Oryzias latipes: one gene and its partners. The protein of the gene in region 3 purifies or fractionates together with the protein of the main gene of each other region. This does not show direct contact. Links are inferred from orthologs where the notes say so. Each region holds a gene or a part of one and is shown on either strand. Other genes may lie near its edges. The genes, in order: aspscr1, nploc4 and ubxn6.

Evidence for each region.
Region 1: the proteins of ubxn6 (region 3) and aspscr1 purify together in Homo sapiens (affinity purification with mass spectrometry; 4 studies listed by BioGRID and IntAct, counting the BioPlex papers as one, with this or other methods). This does not show direct contact. The link is inferred for Oryzias latipes from reciprocal best matches to the Homo sapiens genes UBXN6 and ASPSCR1.
Region 2: the proteins of ubxn6 (region 3) and nploc4 purify together in Homo sapiens (affinity purification with western blotting; 3 studies listed by BioGRID and IntAct, with this or other methods). This does not show direct contact. The link is inferred for Oryzias latipes from reciprocal best matches to the Homo sapiens genes UBXN6 and NPLOC4.

The regions. Positions count from the first base shown.
Region 1 is NC_019859.2:28,952,479-28,956,127, forward strand, and holds the end of aspscr1 (tether containing UBX domain for GLUT4), read right to left. Parts: intron 3,584-3,649; coding exon 3,521-3,583; intron 2,027-3,520; coding exon 1,974-2,026; intron 1,320-1,973; coding exon 1,268-1,319; intron 1,141-1,267; coding exon 1,071-1,140; intron 752-1,070; coding exon 597-751; intron 350-596; coding exon 339-349; 3' UTR 168-338; downstream 1-167. UniProt on the Homo sapiens protein: Tethering protein that sequesters GLUT4-containing vesicles in the cytoplasm in the absence of insulin. Modulates the amount of GLUT4 that is available at the cell surface. Enhances VCP methylation catalyzed by VCPKMT.
Region 2 is NC_019877.2:22,105,767-22,109,967, forward strand, and holds the start of nploc4 (nuclear protein localization protein 4 homolog), read right to left. Parts: upstream 2,854-4,201; 5' UTR 2,700-2,853; coding exon 2,685-2,699; intron 1,189-2,684; coding exon 1,108-1,188; intron 1-1,107. UniProt on the Homo sapiens protein: The ternary complex containing UFD1, VCP and NPLOC4 binds ubiquitinated proteins and is necessary for the export of misfolded proteins from the ER to the cytoplasm, where they are degraded by the proteasome.
Region 3 is NC_019862.2:26,833,148-26,837,378, reverse strand, and holds the start of ubxn6 (UBX domain-containing protein 6), read right to left. Parts: upstream 2,825-4,231; 5' UTR 2,720-2,824; coding exon 2,637-2,719; intron 2,255-2,636; coding exon 2,097-2,254; intron 895-2,096; coding exon 830-894; intron 712-829; coding exon 583-711; intron 470-582; coding exon 372-469; intron 230-371; coding exon 154-229; intron 82-153; coding exon 1-81. UniProt on the Homo sapiens protein: May negatively regulate the ATPase activity of VCP, an ATP-driven segregase that associates with different cofactors to control a wide variety of cellular processes.

The DNA of each region.
Region 1 (3,649 bases), on a different chromosome or scaffold from region 3:
GCTCTTCTCCTCTTTCAGGCGAGTTTCCGTTCTGTTCAGATCAGAGACCAGCTCCCGGGTGCGTTTAAAGGTTCCTGGTTTGAATCCCGCAGGAGTTCATGTATGTGTTCGTGAGGCCCTCCTTTCTCCTACACACAAGCACGCCAGAGGCTGAACTGACAACAAACCCATTTTAAAACCAAAACCTTTATTGTATTTTATTTTCTGAGCGTTCACAGCAGCCAGGAATCATTCATGAGGGGGGGGCGAGTGCTGTGAGGGGGGGGGGGGGGGGGGTCCACTGTGGTCACAAAGCCTTCAGACAAGGAGCAGCAAGTCTTCATCCTCACACGCAGTCTTCACTTCTTCCCTGCAGACAAAAACACTCATCTCCATCAACAGTTTTTATAGAAAAGAAAAACTTGTTTGGAGCAAAACAAATGGTAATTTTTGTAACTTCTGCTGTTTCCTGAATAGAAGGCCTAAAGCGAGGCGCTGACACGTCACGCTGCTCTCACAGCCGTGCATGCGCTCAGAAACAGACAGTAAAGGATGTTTGAATGTGTTTCCGTGACAACAACCGAGGTTTACTTGTTCAGTTGTGGCCTTTTCCTGACCTGGAAGTTTGAGCCACTTGGGCACCTTTCCCGGGTCGGTTCTGGCAGGTTTATCAGCCTGGTTGTGTGAAGTCGGTTCTGGTTTCTGTGGAGACGTTGCAGGTTCTGGGGGTAGAACCGGCTCATCAGGTCCAGCCGAGGAGCTGCTGATGAAGCTGCAGGAAGAAGGCAGAGATGTGAATGTGGAGGAGTGGGTGTCGCTTTAACAAATATCACTTTATTTGTTAAGAGAAGCCAAAGTTAAACCAAGAAATTAGGAAAAAAAAATAGAAAAAAAATGCTTTGAGGGTTTTTTAATTCAGAAGAGACAACAAATGGTGTCACACCTACACACGCACACTCACACACACGCACAGTGTGTTTCCAGTTCAGCATCTGGCCGTGCATGCTTTTGGACATGTGAAGGAAGGTCTGACATGCACACACGCAGACATGCATGTGGGCCTTCATCTGTGCATACAGTAGTGCTTGTACCTGGTCAGGGTCTGGTCTGCCTGCAGGGCTAAAACAGACGTTTTCAGCAGCTCCCTCCGAATGTGAAAGTCTGCAGAGGAAAGAAAAAAAAAAAAGAAACATGTGTACAGTTGTGTCATTTTACAAAACGTCCGAGCTCAGAGGCTGAAGGCTCTTTTGGTTTAAAGCAACCAAAAAGGAAGTAAAAAGGCAAAAACCTGTTTTGACGTCAGAGCCGAAGTACAGCAGCGCTCCAGGAAACAGACCAGCCTGCAGACGGGGAGGGGGGGGATAACCCTTATCAGTTTCTACTAAAAGAAACATCACCACAATGATGGAGACCAAAAGCCTTTAGGGAAACGGAGACCCTCAGCTTCAGAGAAATCTCCAAATTATACTTTCCAAACTTCATTTAGAAAATAGAGGAAGGAACAGATGTGTCTTTCTTCATCCAGATTTGTTCTTAGTCACACTTAGAAAATGAAATCTCACACAACATGAAAAAACAGTGGGTCATCTTCAGGGCAGGTGGGGGGGGGGGGGGGGGGGGGGTTCTCTTACTTATGCCAGGTTAAAAATGTTATATTTAAGGCCTTTTATTAAGAATTTCAATCACATTTGAGACTTGGCCTACAAAGAAATACCCCTTGGGTTCAGTTGGGCTAGTACACATTTATATAGAACATTTACAAAACTGTGAATATCAGTTGTCCTGGAAACTCATCTCAGCCCAATGTGTGTGCATGAAGATCTTGCACATACCCCAAGTGAGGCCTGGGGTAACTACTGTACCCCAAAGTGAGAGGGGGTGGAGGTGCTGGGGGTAAAGTGAAGCAGCTCTGAAGAAATGAGAGGTCAGCCAACGCACTTGATGCAGCGCTTAGTGAAGAGAGAAATGTCACAAAATAAGGGAGAAGATCTGACCTGGAAGAGTGTGACTGACGGGTCGTCCAGAATCGTTTTTGGAGGAGCCACGACTAAAACAGAGAGGGGGAGCAGGAGTTAGAAGCAGGGAAGCAGTCATCCATGAACTCACCTGTTTCCACTCTGGACAGGTGAGAACAGCTGACAGGTTTCTGTTTGTCCAAACTGTGATTCCTGTGAGTTTGAATGGATTCAGAAAGTGCAGCTTCAAAAGCCTAGCAGACTTGTTTCAGGGTGAATGGCATCTCTTTCACCCTCGCCCGCCACTGTATGTACTGGATTTTTTCAGAGGCCTCATTGCACAGCCTGCACAATATATTGTAAATTTATTGTTATCGCAATATCAAGCTGTGCAATATGCATATTGCAAAAGACGGCAAAAATCGCAATAAATGGTTACCTTAAATATGCTAAAACAATCTTATGGATGCTTGAAGTATTTCACGAAACAAACAAATCCCTTTTTGTATTTGACCAATCGAATGGACTCCTCGACATCATCGACCAATCGGATGGAGTTCTATCATGTTAGATGTTCGACTCCTATGTAGATGTGGGTCATTTGGAATGCAATTTTTAAACTGTTGCAGTGAAATGGAAATTATGTTTTTGGTTGTTTTGCTATATGTTCATATACCGCAAGTTACATCGTCATCGCAATATTAATCACTAATATCGCAAGTTTTTCTCATATCGTGCTGCCCTAATCTGAGCCTCTATCTCTTCAGTGCTCAGGGTTTGGTCCTGTGTTGCCAGGATGAGTGCTTCTGAGTTGTCCTGTGGGGCAGCCCATTCTAGTCATTGTTGGGACTCAGTTATGGTCTGGCGGTCCTTCCCATGCAGAGGCTTATCCTTCAATGATGATCTGTCCTTTAGCAGTTATGTACACTGTCCAAACTGTAAATCTTTCAGGTATGGTTTGCTTTCACTCACGGCGCTCTCAGAAATAAAGCTTGAAGTGGATCAAACCACTTTAAAAAATACTGCTGTTCCAACAGCTGCTCATTTGGGGGCGCTATTGTCCAAAATGAGTGCAGAAAAAAAGAAAGCCTCTGATTCTCATGTGTGAAGAAACTCCTGCAGCTTCTCACTACACCACCAGACCTGGACCAGAACCAAATCTGGATCGGACCTTCCATAAATGATGCATGTAGATAACTGTACCATCAGTCAGCACTCTAAGTGTTCAGTCTCTGGAGCAGAGCAGGTCTGGTTCCTGGATCTTTAAATCTAACATGTAACTTCCATCTTTCATTGGTCTATCATAAAGAAAGGTTTTCTATTCAGTTGAACACAGGAGGAGCTGAGGAGGAATTCTTTGATATTTTGGTCTTTGCTTAGTTTCAGCGTTTGTCCCTCCATGAAACAGGCCTTATGCAGATGATCCGATGCTCCATTATTACCAGTTTAATTTACTGTTTGTTGAGTTCAGTCAATATTACACTCAATAAGAATGTAAAAGATCCTGGTTCCATCCAAAAAGCAGATGTTTAAGCTCAAACGGTTCTTTGGAAAAGCAGATGTTGTGGATACTCAGACAAACTTACACAGGTAAAAACTGAGCTGAGCGTCATCCAGGTGAGTCCTGACAAAATGTCTGACAGCACCAACTGCACAAAGGACACAAAAAAAAAACAAAGTTTATGCTTGAACAAAGTTCATTCACGTATGTGAGG
Region 2 (4,201 bases), on a different chromosome or scaffold from region 3:
GGGGGCGCCGGTGAGCCCTGAGATTATGACGCTAAAAAACAATAGAATAAGTGATAGCAAGCGGCAAGTCATTTTCTTCAGAAGGAGCGGCGTATGGACTTTATTTACAAGTAAAGGTAAGATGATAATAATGTTTGTGCTTTTTTCTATGCTGCAGTTTGTATATGAAAAAAAACATGTTGAAATGATATTTTAAACAAAACACGTTAACTGTTGTCAATCAAATGGTGAATAAGTTACTCAGTATGGTTCATATGTTTGTAAATCTGACTGATGACGTCAGTGCCTCACCAGCCATTAACCTCACCGCACGTCACTGTTTTTTAGTAGGTAGGGGTTAGGGCAGGAATGTGGACACAACCACAGACTCATGGTTTGCCTCTGCAGACAGTCTGCTTCAATTAGGATTTCCTGTTTAAAGATTGTTAAACTCCCCCCCCCGGCACCGTCACATACATTCATACATCTTTAATGAAGAGATGCAGAAATGCTCTGTTGAAGTTCAGACCTATTTAAACCTTTAGAAAGTCACTAATCTAAAGCAAGCAGCTTCAGGGCTCGAGTGTAAATTTAAGACAAACAACCCTAAGTTTGCATTACATCCACTCAAAAGTCTGGAGGTGTCAGACGTGTCCCCCCTGGAACCTGCACGACTTCACGCCCTAAACAACAACAGCACCAACTAAAGACGGGGAACAGGACTATAAAACCTAAAAAATGAGGATAGATGTTTGGCTTCTTAAATTACCGCCCTTGAAAACTGGATCATGGGTAAAGCCGTTTCATTTAGGATAATCGACTTTTTTTAAACAAGTTAATTTGCTAGGTGATTTTATTAGTGTTTAACAGTCTGATGTTCAGAAACCTGATGTCTTTTCTGACATTGATTTTCAGGATGCAGGTTTCAGGAAAGAGCCTAGAAACCTGAGCATCCCTGAGTGCAGAGTCGCTCTCTGCTCACGTCTCTGGAATAATTCACTCTGTTTGTTGAGGACAGTTTCACAGGCTCTGCTAAAGACAGACGCTTGATAAAAATCATTTCAACAATCAAAGATTCATTATTCCAGAACAAAATCAAGGGAACGACTCCAGACTTTGGGACATTACCTTTTTTAGAAAAGCAGCTGCCGTCTCCCTCTTGGTAGAAGGAATTTTTCTCATTCCATCAGGGGATTGAACCCTAATGATCTGAAAACAAACAACAACACGTCCTTAAATCATCCACAGCAGCCCGGCCTGTCAGTCAGAGACACAGCACCTGAGTGGACGTGGAGGCAGAGAGCGGTCCGCTGAAACATAAAACACTCAGCTGCCCTGCTCCAACCGTCTCCCAGTAAAATCCAGTGTTTGTTGGACTTCAAATGCAGCCAGTTTTTTAGCAATTTAAAGCCGTTAAGTGGTTTGGAGCCTAATGAGGGCCCTGGGGTCAGCCGGTCCCTTTGGGAGTTCAGAGAACCACGTGGAAACATTTAGAGTCTCAAAGACAGTCTCAAGACCACCTAGGACCGGGTCCAGTTCAAAAACCGCTGGACCTGGACTGCTCCAACCTGGATTCAATTCATTTAGATAGTAAAGAATACATTAAATACAGTTTCTGATTTGTAGTTGATCAGTCTGCCCATTGTTGTGGGGTGAGCTGGATTGTAGACAGGCAACACAAATTCACAAGACGGGAGGCAACAGAAGTTCCAGACAACAAATGTTTACATTTGAAACGGGTCCAGCGGGTTTTCGAACAGGACCTGGTCTGAGGTGGACTCGGCGTGTAAAATGAGATAAAATGACCCTATTTCACATTTTCACAAATCAGACGAAGGTTTCACAAATCAGCAACTGTGTTTTATGTATTCTTTACTATCTAAATCACAAGTGAATCCAGGTTAGTCCAGGTCATGTGGTTTTGGAACAGGACCAGCAGGTCCTAGGTGGTGTTAGTGTGAAAAATGCAGTGGAAAGTTCCTTTAGTGGCCTGGCCAATCAGAAACCAACTTCAGCGTAGTTCACAGATCTTCAAAACATCAGGATGGACTTAGACCTCTTCATGTTGAAAAATTTGAGCTTGGTTTCATCATTTGCAAAACTATATTATTCTTCTGTTTTTATTTTATTTTTTAGAATTGATGTACTTTTTTGGTCAACTGTTGCTTTAAAATATCAGTAAAGAAACAAATATACCCAGACATCAAATCAACTGAATGATGTTTCTGGAGAATTTGTTTCCACAGTACATAAAAACCAGGAACCTTCTCTGGTTCTGTCAGCGGCAGAATTACCGGCCCCAACCCAAATTAAAGGTTCATTTGGAAACCCGTTTAGTAAAGAGAAAAACAAACTTCTGCTGCTGTCACTCACTTATTGTTTTTGAGACACATCATTGTCAGCACTGAGTGACTGTGGCTACATCATCTATTGAAAAAACTGGGATATATTAGAAATAAAACTCACAAATTAAATATTTAAACAAAACGTTTTCCATCTCCGGCTATTTTTAACCGAAGCTTGGAAGCAACCTTGAAAGCTAATCTGAGTGGAAGAGCTCAAAAGGCCGCAGTCACTCTTGCTAATGTTAGCTAACTGCTGAGCTAATTCTGCTGCCTCATCACTCCCGACTTCAGCTAAGAGGCTAGCGACCGTTAGCCTGCTAGCTCCCCGCGCAGAGTCACCCGGCCCGCCGACACGCTTACTATGCTGTCCGCCATGGTTCTTCGTGGAGGATCTCCGTCAGTGTCGCTGTGTTTCAGACCAGATGCAAAGAAACTAACGATCAGGTACAGGCTGAGTAAGAGCAAAGCTCCATCACAGAACTCAGTTTGACACCAGTTCAACAACGGAACGAGCCCGGTGGAAACCACCAATCGGAAAAGAAAGGTTCCCCCTACTTCCGTTTAAAAAAAGTTTTTGTTTCTGTTAGCTTTCACAATTATTAGAAAAGTACTATTCTTGAAAAATAAAAAAATAAATCTTAAATGTCTCAATCCAAATGGTGTTTTTCAAGATGGATTATAATCCATTGATCTAATTTTGAAACGTTTCTTTGTCGGTATCGGGTCGATTCGATTCGATTCTGCCTCAGATAGATCGATCAGGTTGGATCATAGGAACAGAAATAGATTTATTTATTAATTGTATAATCGTTTTACCCCTAATCATATATATTAAGAAATACATTTAAATACATCAGCAACTTACACATATAATTTAAAATATATAGCAATATATGGAGGAAAACCTATTTCTGGATTTTAAATATGTAAAATCTCATAGTTTGTAAATAAACCTTTTCTCATAATTGCTTGTGTCTTTGTTGAAATAGATGTTTTTGGTCATTAAGTAGAAACCCTAAATAAGATTTTTCAACCGACATTTTTTATTATAAGGAAATGGATGAACCCCATATGGCTATGTAATTTATATAACTTAATTGTTGTTGACTGTAATACTACATGGTTGTTTACATAATCCAAAAAAGAAAAAAAGTCTTTGAGTCATAGCTATATGTATTTGTTACATGTGTAACATCATATAAGTCTGGGTGTTACGATTATGGGATAATGATAAATCATGTAATAAAATGGTTACGGTAGAACAGGGGTGGGATTATATAAGTTCGCTTCCTTCCACTCCCTTTACAGCAATATTTATTAATATGTCTAATTATCCTAAGTTTGATTCGTCATTGTATGAATGTATAACTGATGATTGTATTGTTGTTGTGTATTATTATTATTATTTGATTGCTTGAAATAAACCATTTCAAAAAAATAAAATCAAAAAATATTTTAATATTCTGAAAAATATATTACTTCCATATATGGAACATATTGTCAATACATTAAGAGAAAGAAAACACTTGAAGCTCAAAAGCTTCCTGTTACATTAACCCTTCATATACTTGCTTTAAAATTTGCAAAGGCCTTTTTTATAGGTTGATTTCTTTAACTTGATGATAAAAAGGGTTTTTGCTGCTGAAAGTAAAACCTGGTTAGGTAAAAGGTTCAACTACCATTACTTTGTGGGACTAGTTGCTTGTTTAGTACGATTCAAATCATCATTCATTGAGCTCAAAAACATAAAGAGCAAAGCAGATAAAAGGTTCATGGGGTTATCACTCTGACTATGGTAGTCATAAATCTCCATCCACCAATCCTTCTATGTTTATCAAAGTCGCACCAATTGACAATTCTGTGTACCACAGAAAATC
Region 3 (4,231 bases):
TCCATCTACTGGGAGCATAATGCTGATGAAGCCCAGAGCCTGCAGAAACTCTCGACTGCCCTCCACACAACGCACTTTCTCCTGAAAGACAAATAATTCTCATTACTTTGTGTGGGCAGAGCCAAGAGTCAAAGGAAACAGTTTGATCGTCACCTGGAAAACCTTGTTGCTGACTCTGACTTTTCTGTACTTTTCCTCTGTTGGATTTTTGCAAATATTTTCAACATATCTGTAAAAACAAAGAGGTATTTTGGAGTCAGAGACCAAACAGTAGAAATTAATGTTTGAACTGTATTCTAATAGGAAGTTAAATCCTCATGAAGGTGGAGTTTGATTAGTCTAATTAATAGAATCAGCAATGAACGTCTTACTTGCTGATGATTTCCACGGCTGCCTTCACTTTCTCTTTATCTTTGTTAAAGGTGTGCACCATCATGACTGAAGCTTCGACTGGATCTTCCTCAAAGCGCTGTTGGTGTAAAAACAGTCCGTATTTTATCAACAACAGAAGCGGGATTATTTTTGTCTGTTTTCAAATCAACGCATCTCGGGGGGGCGGGGCTAAAAGTGCAGGAGACCCACCATCAGGATCGCCTCTTTGATGTGCACTTCCCTCTCACTCTTGGACAGTGTCGCTCCGGTGAGCGGACAGGTAAAGTAAACACCTGACACTGAGAAGCACGCTGGATCTTTCACCGGCACTTTGGATCCCTGAATAAAAGAAAAAATAAAAAACAGACGGTTTTATTGTTACTTATCTGCTGTTCGATGTCACTGTTCACCATAAACATCAGTAAACTGCAAACCCTCTGCTTCATTGCACTCGTACCTCTGCCGTTGCTGCTTTTTCCTTTTCAGCCACTGCCGCTGCCTCCGCTTCCAGCTCTTTTTTGACTGTAAACATAAACAAATGAACTCACAGGAATACTGCTCTTTCACAGACAGAAAGCTCTCCGGAGATTTGGGTGTGACTGGAAACAGTTGAAGGGGCTGGAAACTACACAGCATCGAAACCACACAAGGTCAGAGGTCACCACCTCTCTCTCTGCTGCCCTTGGTGAAAAACATTTGGTCCGTTTAGACCGTTTAGTCCGCAACCTTCAATTCCATTTGGGAAGGAGCCACAAAAGTCTTATTTCTCCCTTTAGAGGAAAAAAAGCACAGATTTGTATTTTTGTTTCTGTTACGACTATGATAAATATGAATCAACTTTTGTTTTTGGCATGGATAAAACATAAAGATAAACATAAAATAGCCTTTTTTCCCCCAAAATCTGAATAGTTTATGACTTGATTCATAGACCCATGACTTCCCTTCAAAAATAAAAAACACCCCATGCCACAAAGGATCCACTCAGTGCAGCGAATGTAGTGTCATTACTTTATTTTACCATTTGTGTTGCATCTCAGCCAGAAATTCATCAATCTAACAAACTAAATTAGAGCTGATTAAGTGACTCTTCTGTATTTTTTAAACCATGAGATGCATTTAAAATCCCTGAGTTCAAAAACAGACGATCTGCGTTATAATCTGATACATCTTAAGTATGAATTCTGATACTGGCATTATATTGATTTTAAACGTAAAAATCCGTCCGTGTTTTGGTACGAATTTGGTAAACTACAAAGGATTGATGGAGAAACTTGCTTTTTACTTTACAGGTACTGTTTATTCTTATTAACCAGAGAAACACAGTAGAAGGGTAAAACAGCCACACGTAGCCTCAGGTTGCAGACCCCTGGTTTTGTGATCCATTTTCATTTATCGACTGACAAAAAACACTACCTCATCTTTAAAAAAATGAATTTATATTATTTTACATTTCTATTGTCATATGTAACCAATCTGTCACTACTTTAGTGATTAAACGAGTCACCAGAAGCTGATTAAACTTATATGATTTAGATCATCATCACCTTCAACACCGTATCAGGTCAGTTCACACCCCCTCAGTTTGGTCTACAAAAGGATCCTCCTTAATATCCATTTTTTGGTCGACAGGATAACAACATCGATGTAATCCAAGTCTGCATGCCATGTCAACCCCCAGAAGACAGCCATCTTCGGGTGGGCTCGTGCAGCCCCCCGTCTCTCACCCTGGATCCTGATCGCGTCCTGGGAGGTGTGCACCTTGGGGCGCTGCTGGTGCTCGATCCTGGCCAGGGCGGCGGCTCCGGCCATCTGCGCTCCTTCGCTGGGAGGACGGCGGTTTTGCCGGGAGTTGCAGTCGCTCCGGGCGGGCTTGGAGTTGGAGCTGAACGGTTTAGTGATGAGAGAAACACGTAAGGATCACAACCACAGGAAGGTTCCGGTATTTAGTAAATGTTATCAGCTTCCGGCAGATGATCCGGAGCTCCGCTCTTTTATTTTTTTAGATAGTTTGCACACGTAATGTAATTTTACCAAATTAGGGGAGGGGTGTCACAAAAGCCGGAATTCTCTTGAAATAATCAGCCGATGGATTTAGTCGGCTACAGTACAATGCTTATCGATCTGTGAGGTGTTCAAATCGATCGACTGTCGATGGGAGGGGATCAGACAGAAACCATGCTTGCACTGTTTTACAATGATCCCTGTTAAGATAGTTAGATTACTTTTAATTAGCCTAGTGACGTTTTTCTAAGCGCCCAGTTTACCTTGAGTCCTCGGTTAGCTTCTTTCCGGGTCCAGCTGATTTAAACTTCACGTCCTTTTTTAAGTCTTCAAAAAACTTCTTCATTTTTGTTTAGCTGTCGTGGGGGGAAAAAAACGAAAAAACGACAACCACTGACTTAGCTAAGGTGCACGTCTAACAGAACCAAAACATAACAGAAGAGGAAACCACTTCCGCCCAGCAAACGCAAGTGTCGCCTTCGTGTGGCTGTAATTGGAACTTCATGTGCAAACGTTTATTTCACATATTCTAAAGTAACTTTTCGGGGAACTATAAAGGTGAAATGTAAAGGTTTAAATATACATTTTTTTGCAAGAATGTTTGTTTATTCAACTATTTATTTTTTCAGATAAGCATCCTACAAGGAAGATGTATTTATTCAAAAAAAATTTCTTTTAACAAACTTTGAATGACCCTTGTCTGACACTCATTCCATACCCATAATAACTTTCATTAAACCAACCTATTGGTTTATAGTCTCAATAGGGGATTTTTTTTGATTATGTTATTTGATTCATTGAAAGTACTTGGCCAAGTCCTGACGTGCTTAAAACAGGACACCATGGCCTTTCCATTGATGTCTTCTGTGTTTAGGTGGGATGACGGGGAAATTTGACTTTTTGGAGAGACAAAATGGAGACTACAGAGGACATAGATAATGATCTGGTTCTCAGGAGGATATAATCTAACTCTTAATTTGTTTTTTAATGTTTTCCAGCATTTTTTTCTATTTTTCTTGGAAAGTAAAAGTCATTTCCTAGCTGGGGGTGATCCCATGTGCATTTTTACTTTTGAAACTCTCTGGATCTGCAGCATGTGTGACTAATATTCACTGGTATTTTAATCTTTCTCATCGTGAAACAAGTCCTCCAAGTAATTTCATTTTCACATTCTTTAAGGCACAGGTTGTTCAGAAGGAGCTGCCAATTGCTTCCAGCCAATTTCTCTATTCAAACTTAACCCTAACGAGGGTTATAGTTGTTCAATAGTGAGGAGGTTTGTTGGATTTCACGCTCAGCTAAAAAAGAAGCACGTTTCATGTCAGTAGAATTGGCCTTTGTCTCTTGAAAAGGTTTTCCTTTACACAGGAAGCCTCATTTTAGTCATTATGAACAGGTACATCCCCAAGTTTCTTTCTGATAGATGTAGCTGGACCAGAAATGTGAAGTTCACCTGTTTTGGTGTTTATGCTTCTCACTCTTGAAACCACCTCACTGATTGGATTATAAAACATGTGCATTTTTAACATCAGATTGTCTCATCTTTCCTTTTTTAAATTATGTTTGATGTTGTAGCAGCTATGAATTCTGCTGCACTGTTGCACAATCCATGCAAAAGGCAATTTAAAGTGCTCCGCAAAAGAGACAGAACCAAAGCCCAGAAACACAAACTACAGTCACACTAGAAAAAATCACAATCAAAGTTTTTTTTACAATATATTGTCAAAAGTTATTTTAAAACAAGAATAGAGAGAAGATCAGAGTCCTTCAGTTGCTGAACATGTGAATAAAAATAATAGTTTTTAGACTTTTTTTAAAGAAGAAGGTTGTTTAATGTCCTTAGAAAAATGGTTTGGGA